2 linked regions of the Drosophila melanogaster genome follow. The protein of the gene in region 1 interacts with the protein of each later gene in a pairwise test. Each region holds a gene or a part of one and is shown on either strand. Other genes may lie near its edges.

What was found.
Region 2: the proteins of Lipt2 (region 1) and SPoCk interact in a two-hybrid assay, tested with the Drosophila melanogaster proteins (one large-scale study listed by BioGRID).

Annotation. Positions count from the first base shown.
Region 1 is NT_033777.3:4,435,493-4,439,032, forward strand, and holds Lipt2 (Lipoyl(octanoyl) transferase 2), read right to left. Parts: upstream 1,838-3,540; 5' UTR 1,616-1,837; coding exon 911-1,615; 3' UTR 730-910; downstream 1-729. Other genes in the region: CG1074 (uncharacterized protein), read left to right, coding at 15-559; CG14650 (uncharacterized protein), read left to right, coding at 2,136-3,540. UniProt on the Drosophila melanogaster protein: Catalyzes the transfer of endogenously produced octanoic acid from octanoyl-acyl-carrier-protein onto the lipoyl domains of lipoate-dependent enzymes. Lipoyl-ACP can also act as a substrate although octanoyl-ACP is likely to be the physiological substrate.
Region 2 is NT_037436.4:22,758,104-22,763,058, reverse strand, and holds the start of SPoCk (secretory pathway calcium atpase), read right to left. Parts: upstream 3,083-4,955; coding exon 2,819-3,082; intron 2,271-2,818; coding exon 2,250-2,270; intron 1-2,249.

The sequences.
Region 1 (3,540 bases):
TTTGGTAATTTAAGCTCCCTATGGAATAAGAGAGGCCACGGAAAAGGTGGAGAAAAAGGCTAGCGTAAAGGCCAACACTAGAAGTGACAGCATGGTGCATTACCCATCAACGTCGCACTATTCCTTGCAGAGTCTCTATGGGGATCTTCTCGAGTTCTCTGCGAGGCACCTAAAACTGGGAGGACGTCTTGTCTGCTGGATACCCTTTCACAGCGAGGACTACGACCCGAAGATGCTGCCACAGCATCAGCATCTGAGCCTGATAGCTAACTCTGAGCAGCAATTGACTGGGAATACAGCTAGGCGGCTACTCACCTATGAAAAGTGTTTCGAGTATAGTCCAACAGAACCCTTATTGTGCAGCATAAAACAGGTGCCAACGCCCTCGCAGGACTTCAGGGATCGGTACTTTAATAATGCTCTGGAGTCACGCAAAGAGCGTCGAATGCGGAAGGCAGAGCTGCGGGAACAGGCTCGTGTGGAGATGAATGCACGGGGAAAGATTCCTACGGATGGGCGCTCCAAAAAGTGTGACCTGAATAAAGCTCGATTTATGTGATCTCCATTGAAGTGTAATTTATAGTAAGATATAACTTCGATTCGGGCCAAATTTTTTGTTGGCTGTGTGTCGCTGAGTTTTCTTGTATGGCATACATTTCGAAGATTTTGATTCAGATTTGGACAAAAAAAAAAATAGATAAATACGATTGACAATGAGTCTATATATGTATATAGTTATAATGTTATTTTAATATTTTATGAAATACATAAATCTAGTTTACAAATTTCCATTTCGTAAAAGTTGAGATAACAGAAGGCCAGGAAATATGTATTGATGCATAATTTAAATTATAAATGTTGAAATAAACTTGGCGGTCCTTTATACATCATATGTATCCAAATAACCATATTATCCGATTTCAGCAGAACTTGCTGGTTTTTTGGCGTGTTCCTGAAGGCGGCATTCGAAAACTTTAGCGAAACTATTGAGGAGTGCGCCACTGGCCTCCTCGACAGGAAAATGTCTGTCCAGCTCTTTGCTGAGCGAGGTGACCCCCTTGCCTTCGATTCCGCAGGGCACAATGTGCTCAAACCACTGCAGATCCGTGCAGCAATTGAGGCCGATTCCATGCGTGGTGACGTAACGCGAGCCGTGGATACCGATGGCACAGATCTTGTTGTCACCCACCCAGATACCGGTGTCCTTGGTCGCCTTGGCACTGGAAATGCCCATCTGGTGGCAGGCCTCGACAACCATCCGCTCCAACGTCGCCACGTACCAGCGGATGCTCGGCACGAACTGACCCAGGTGCAGAATGGGATAGGCCACCAACTGGCCGGGGCCGTGAAATGTGATCAAGCCACCGCGATCTGTGCGATGGAAGTCTGCTCCTAGCCGGCGGAGTCGGTCTTCATCCTGCGCCGTATAGTCCTTTGTCCTTAGTCCGACTGTGTAGACCGGGTCGTGCTCCTGAAGCACCAGGTAGTTTCGGAACTCCGCTGGCGGATTCAGGATCTGGTTGGACCTTGCAAGACGTTGCTGTAGCTGTAATCCTGCTGAATAGCTATGCCGCCCGGCCCGCACCACGGTCACCAGCGGTCGGACAAAAGGCATTTTTTTAATTGTTTAAAAATCATTTGACTGCAACGTTTAAAACAACAAATATTAACCAGGGCTGCACGATCAGCGGGTTCATCAATATATGTATCTTCAAAAACGGCTGATTGGTGGCAATGGAAAAGTTGGCGAAATTTGTTTTTTTATTTGAGGAAACTTCGATTAATAATCCAACAGTTTAACAACAATTCGGAAAATACGTTGGAGGGAAATCTTTCGATAGGTTACTACCAGGGTTGGTCGAGGGCAGTTAGGAAAATGGAATTCCACCCATCTGGCAACACTACATTTGACGTTTGCAATAAAAAGATATAAAACTCTTACACACGGACGCTCTGCGAATTATTTAGAGTTTGGAGTGAAAAAGTGGGCTAGGGCCACAGAAAACCAACTACCTGTCACCTGCGATTGCAGCACATCCGTGACAGACTCGCTGCGGTGAATACATGGAGCACGCTTGAAATTCCAATAGGCGAGCGGAGCTGGTGCGCAAAAAGCATAGGCCCCATCGCAGGACATGGCGACTCGTCAGGACGACGAGATTGGAGGGGGCAGCACTGAGTCTGCACCCTTTCGCGTCCTGCCCCACACTGACGAAGTGGGCAACTACCTGGCCCACCAACAGCAGCAACAGCAACAGCAGCAGCATCAACATCAAACCCAAAACTATCTGATCCACCAGCAGCAGCATGGACAAGCACCTGTCCCGCTGATGTGGCCACCTCCACCACCGCACCTAGCCGGCCCCCCATTTGCGCCCCATCTTCAGCAGCAGCAGCCCCACATGTACAATGAGTATCTCTTCAATCTGTCCTACTCCGGTCAGCCAGGCCAGCCAGAGACCTACTCCGTGCTGCCTGTGGGACCCGGCAACTTTCTCAAAGTGTACCACTGCCCGGACAACCAGGTCAGCGAAGCCGGCACCCCACTCTTCACGCATATCAACATGGCCTCGATTAATCACCATCAGCTGCAGCACCAACACCAGGCCGCTCCGCCGACACCTTCGCAGCCGACTCCACTGTATGAACTGTTTGCCACAAATCCTTTGACTTTACCACATGCACAGCAGCAAGACGCCCAGCATCGACAGCCCCAACAGACGCAGACTCAGGCCCCAACAGTGTCCCAAGTCAATCACTCGTCGAGCAGTGCTAACCTTCTCATTAACAACCTTGTAAACAACTGGTCGCCCAATTTGACTGGTGGAAGCTACATTCAATTTGATGGCGAGGCCAACGAGATGGACGTCGTTCTCGAGACTTCGATAGCCCAACAGCCACAGGTTCCTAATCAGAACCTGCAGCAGCCTGAGCCACTGTCGCAATCCGTCAATACACTGCCAGCGGCTTCCAAGCCAGCCAAGTCTCTGAAAATGCCTTTGGCCACTGCCACCGTTTCACCAACTGCCATCAACAAGTCGAGCGTCGCCGTGCCTGGCCAACCCGAAGGCAAAAAGCGAATCGTGGCCGAGGTGAAGCCCATGCCCATGTCGTACTCCGATGTGCTCAGCAAAGGCACAAAACCGAGTGCTGCAGGGCGAGATATGCGCGCAGACAACGGTGGGGACTACAGTGTACAATCGCAGAGGCGTCCGGAAAAGGAGGATGCATATGGAAATCGCGAGATGCGGACGTCAAAACGTTCACCGCTGCACGATGCCAAGGAGACGGGTTCGTTTGTGCCCGGTGTTGGTCATGCGCATGCCAGCCGAGGCAAGAAGCGAAGTAAAGTCAGCCAGACCGCGCCGCTCAAGGTTCAACAGTCTCAGTCTCTAGCACAGCCAAATCTACAGCCGCAGATTAAATCAAACAAACTAAATAATCCGGAAAAGAAGCGGCCACTGCAACCGAAGAACGTAAATAGCAACGCCCCTAAGTTTTCGGAGCATAAGACCACTCCGGTGTCCGCCAACAGCAGCT
Region 2 (4,955 bases), on another chromosome or scaffold:
AAATGCCGTGGATGTTCCATTGTAATATAGTAATTGTCATGATTAAAAATTTTTTTTTTTTTATTTATTGTTTTTTGTTGGACTGTTATTAATTTGTGGTGTGTGTATATGAAGGTAAGGGTGAGAGGATCAGGACTAGGAATCGGGATCGTCCATAGTGTCTGAGTCTGTTGTGTTGATTTTTGTTTGTAGATTTGAGGTTTGTGAAGCAATTGATTCGTTTGAGTTGGATCTTGAGGTCATTAACGTATTGTTGTCGTCGTTGTAGGTTTGTCCTAATAGAGCGTTTGCTTCCGCCCTAAGGGAGCGAGATCGTTCGATGCATGTTTTTTTTAGGTAAGAGAAATCAGTTTTGTCAGAGGTGCTTGGGGAGGAAGTAAGATTCTCTTCGAGATTCAAAGAGTTCGTCCGAGAAGTGGGATACGTTGGTGAGAGCGGAGCTGGTACTTTTGTCGAGCTGGTGGGCAAGTCGGTGTTTGTAATCGTGTTAGGGTTTCGGGATTTTTTGACAAGCATCACGGATGATGTGCTTTGGTTTGCGACGGTCGAGTAGGTAAGCGTGGGGTTATTTGTTGTGTTTTGTTGTTGTTTTAGTATAGTGCGAGCTTCATGGAAACTGCATTTTTTGCTTGTTTTGATGTGGAGCAGTTGTTTTTGTGTTTGGTATTGTGGGCATTCGGGTGAGGAGGCTGGATGTTGGCCGGTGCAGTTTGCACAGAAAATGCGAGTGCATGGCACGGGAAGGTGGGGAGCGAGATTGCATGATACACAGGCAGGTGGGTTTTTGCAGTGCTTTGATGTGTGTCCTAATAATTGACAAGACTTACATCTCATCGGGTTGGGTATATATTCTGACACCTTAACTGTGTGCCAGGAAACCGTTAGTTTACTGGGAAGAGTGAAACGGTCGAACGTTACGAGAACTTTTCCAAAAGGTTTGGGGGTGCCGTCGATCATTTTGGTAAATTTAAATACGCTGTGTACATTTTGTGATTTTAGTTCCTCAACAATTTCGTTTTCTGGAATGTTAATAAGACAGGGAGCGTAAATGGTGCCTTTGACAAAGTTAAGAGTGTTGTGGAGCTTGCACTCGATATCGCATAAGCCAGGTAAAGAAGTCACTTTGATAAATTTGTCACTAATTTCCCTGGAGTTAACCAGCAAGAGAAGGTTACCATCCCGAAGATTAGAGATGGATGTAATGTCTTTGCTGATATACTTAAGGGCTCTATGGACAGCAAAGCAGTTGTAGTCGGATATGGTTTTCGGAGAGTTTTTTGATGAGACCACTAAATATCTCGGATTTTTGCACTGCGTTTCAGGGAGGTCTGGGAAATCAACTTGTAATTTTTGATAGGGTCTTTTTTTCTTAGCTTTGGGGCTAACGCTGAGACTGGCAAAGCGATTATCCCCCAAATTGAGTGGCCCGGGGGCCATGGTTAATAAATTTATGGATATTGAATGTTTTTGATTTGCACGTACGCGTTGATAAGAAGATCAAGAAGATAAGATGATAAATATCAATGTAACGGCGATGGTAATTACGCGATAAGCAAAGCTCACACAATTGGAAAGACACAGACGTCCGCACTCGAAGAGAGATAGTCGGTGACGTTGCAAATATACACCAGTACTTTAGCTACATTATTTTGGTGTAAAGACTTATGGACTTGGTAATCGTAGAAGTACTGTCGACATTTTTCTAACTATTTAATTTTGGCTATGCATCCTTGGATCCTTAAGATTATACCCGTTACTCGTAAAGTAAAAGGGTATACTAGCTTCGTTGAAAAGTATGTAACAAGCAGAAGGAAGCGTTTTCGACTATATATAGTATATATATATTCCTGATCAATAGCTGAGTCAAACTGGCCATGTTCATCTTACCAGGATGGTTTAGATTAGGCATACAGATTTAAGTTTGTTGATCCATATTGCAACGCCCACAGTCTTGCCAAGTTCTACCGGTATACCAAAAACACTTTGGCCACGCCCCTTCTCACACCTACAAAACGCCCAAAACGGTCACGCCCACACTTTTAAACAATTTTTAAATTTTTTCTTTTATTCTCCAATATCTATCGATACTTCAGAAATATGATGAAATTTCGTGTTCGCATTTCCACTAGTTGAGTAACGGGTATCTGATAGTCGGGGAACTCGAATTTAGCAACTTCTCTTGATTTTCATCTGTGTGGTGTTAATTAGTTTTTGTGTGAATTTTAATTACGACAGTTAAGCCTGAGAGCCTGAATAATGTTTCCATTTTGCTTTGTTGTTGTATACACGTGAAAAGTGTGATGCTTAGAATTAAGAGGAAACTCAAGTTTTACATACATACCTGAAAAGGTAAAAGACGGAAAAGGTGATAGATAAATTATAACAAATGGCCTTATGAGAAGGTCTTTTTACTTTAATAATAATTATTATAAAAAGTAGTTGTATTAGGAATTAGTCACCTAAAAAAGGTAGCATTGCAGACATCAGCCACATAATGTAATCTTTTTTCACATTTTGTTCAATATAACCTTTTAAACATCGTACACAAATCCCACCCAAATTATTTATTAATTAAAGCGATTCCAAAACATATATACTTTAGAAGAACAAGAGTTTCTGCCCCTTGCATTATGAATTTCGTCATAATAATAATAAGTATTAAAATTGTTATGCCCAAGTTATGCGGAGACACGTCCCAGTGAGAATGGGGAGAATTGGTCGAGGAACTTGAATTCCCTGAACAAATACGCGTACATAGCAAAGTAACCCCGTCATATCTCATCACTATAGTCAAAACATATTTTTCATCACCTCTCACCTGATCCACATTGTCCTCATCCGGCTCTTTGCAATCCTTCATGTCTGCTACTTTGCCCGGCTTCACATTTTGCGGAACAGCCCTTGAGTCCTTGACGTGGCTGATGGTCCTCTGTGGGTTAGGCTTACTGTCGACGCCCTTGATCTTGGAACGGCGATTGCGTACGCCACTCGAGGTTGTTGGGCTTTCAATCAGGACCGTGGAGCCAGGACTTGCCGGCGAGGTCCTACGCTTGGACGTCAAGGGCTTTGGAGTTTTGGACATTCGGGCGAATTTGTACTGAAGTAAGACTCAATGAAGCAGAGGGCGCCGCCTCGTAAAGAGCAATGAACTGCCCTTCCATTTACGTTAATACCCTACGCGTGTCCTTCTCTTGATAAGGTCCATAGAGTTACCCATCTCGGGACATAAGTAATCTAATTATCGGCCCACCGGGGTGGGAACCTTAAAGTGTCGCCATATGGAAAACACCTTCTTCTCTTCATTCTGCGTAAAGTTTGAACAGTAAGTACTGGGCAGCAAACCACTCTGGAGCTAAACTATTCCCAGAGCCAGATTTTAAATCGTTTATTTTCGACAAACCGAATCAAAATCAAATGGAAACTGCAACGAACAAGCGCTCTTTACGTATGGTAAAAAATTCAATTTAAAAAACACCTGTCAATTGACTCGATTTACGTAACTGGAGGGTGGTCACAAAGTCCTCAGTACAACAATCTAATATGCGCAGGATAAGTTATTTATTGAGCCTTGAGAGTCGCGGAGGGTGGATTGGGTGGATAATAGTTGGGCGCAATGGCCAGTCAGAGATATGCGGTCGTTGGCTGCAAAGCCGCAGGGCGTTGGGGCTTAAGACAACCAGAGGTATGACCATTAAGTTTCCCGTTTGTAAGTGACAAGCAATAATGGACTTGATTTAGGGGTTACCACACATGAGAAATTCATATGTGAGAGTAGTGTTGATTTATAGTGTTTTAAATTAAGAATCAGGCATCTTAAAGCTTATAATTATGTACTAGTATGAAATAAATAACACACCATAACCATAAACGTACGAAATAAATTGTTCTAGTAATTTCCAGTCTCTGTTTTAAAAAAAGAGAGAATGCTATAACGAATTCCCCGACTATCAGATACCCGTTACTCAGCTAGTCCAAGTGGGACCGAGAATTATCAACATTTTCAGGAATATCGGTATAAATTGGGGGAAAAAATTATTATTTGAATGCTCTAAGGTGTGAGTGGTTTAAAATATTAGGTAACTGCAAGGGTATATAAGCATCGGCTTGCCAAAGTTAGCTTCCCTTCTTGCCTTTATACGAAGCATTTTCAAAAAATAATTCCGCGACCGAGCCGACTTTGTTCTTGACCAATATATGTGTCCTAAAATGGTCAGGGGTTAAGCACCTGAACTGGGAGTTTCCCATAAAAATCTATTCACAACTAGCAGGGAGTTGGTTTCCAGGAAAAGTTTTAAATTCGAATTTGGAGGTGAAAGACAAAGCGAAATCATAAACAGGCATCTCTCCTTTCACGAAGTGCCAAATAAAAAGTTTTTCAATTTAGATTTATAAACCAACATAACGTAGGTAATTGCCGCACAAAGTTGCCTGGCGTGTTTAAATAAAAGTGAAGCGGGAGATGTAGCGCCCAGTCCTCTGCGCCTCGAAGGAAAAGTGCTTCCCGTGCTCGAGGATCCAAAACATTTCAGCGGAATTGCAGTGCATATAATTTTCGCTGTTGCGTTTTAAAGCAGCCGCTGCCTGATACACCAAGAGCAATGCCCGTCTTCATGGCAGTCTCTCTAACACAAAACTCCTAGCTAGATATTCTGATCGTGGCCAGCCAGCACCCCTTCCACACAGGACCTACCGAATTTGTATCTGTTGGGGCACTGAGTGCGGTTACCCGCTGACAGACATTAGCACAGCTTATACATACCTCCGGCACCCAGCTCCGCTCCACTATCTCCCCCTGCGTCTAATGCATCTGAAAATTGCGAAAACTTCTGGCAGAAGGACCGCCGGAGATGGGGAAGGGGTAGGTGCACTGTGTATATCTGTATCTGTATCTGGCAGATACGAGCTACAGTTATTTTTATAAACTTCTCGCTTTCGCCTCTCCCGATGTCCGTTTA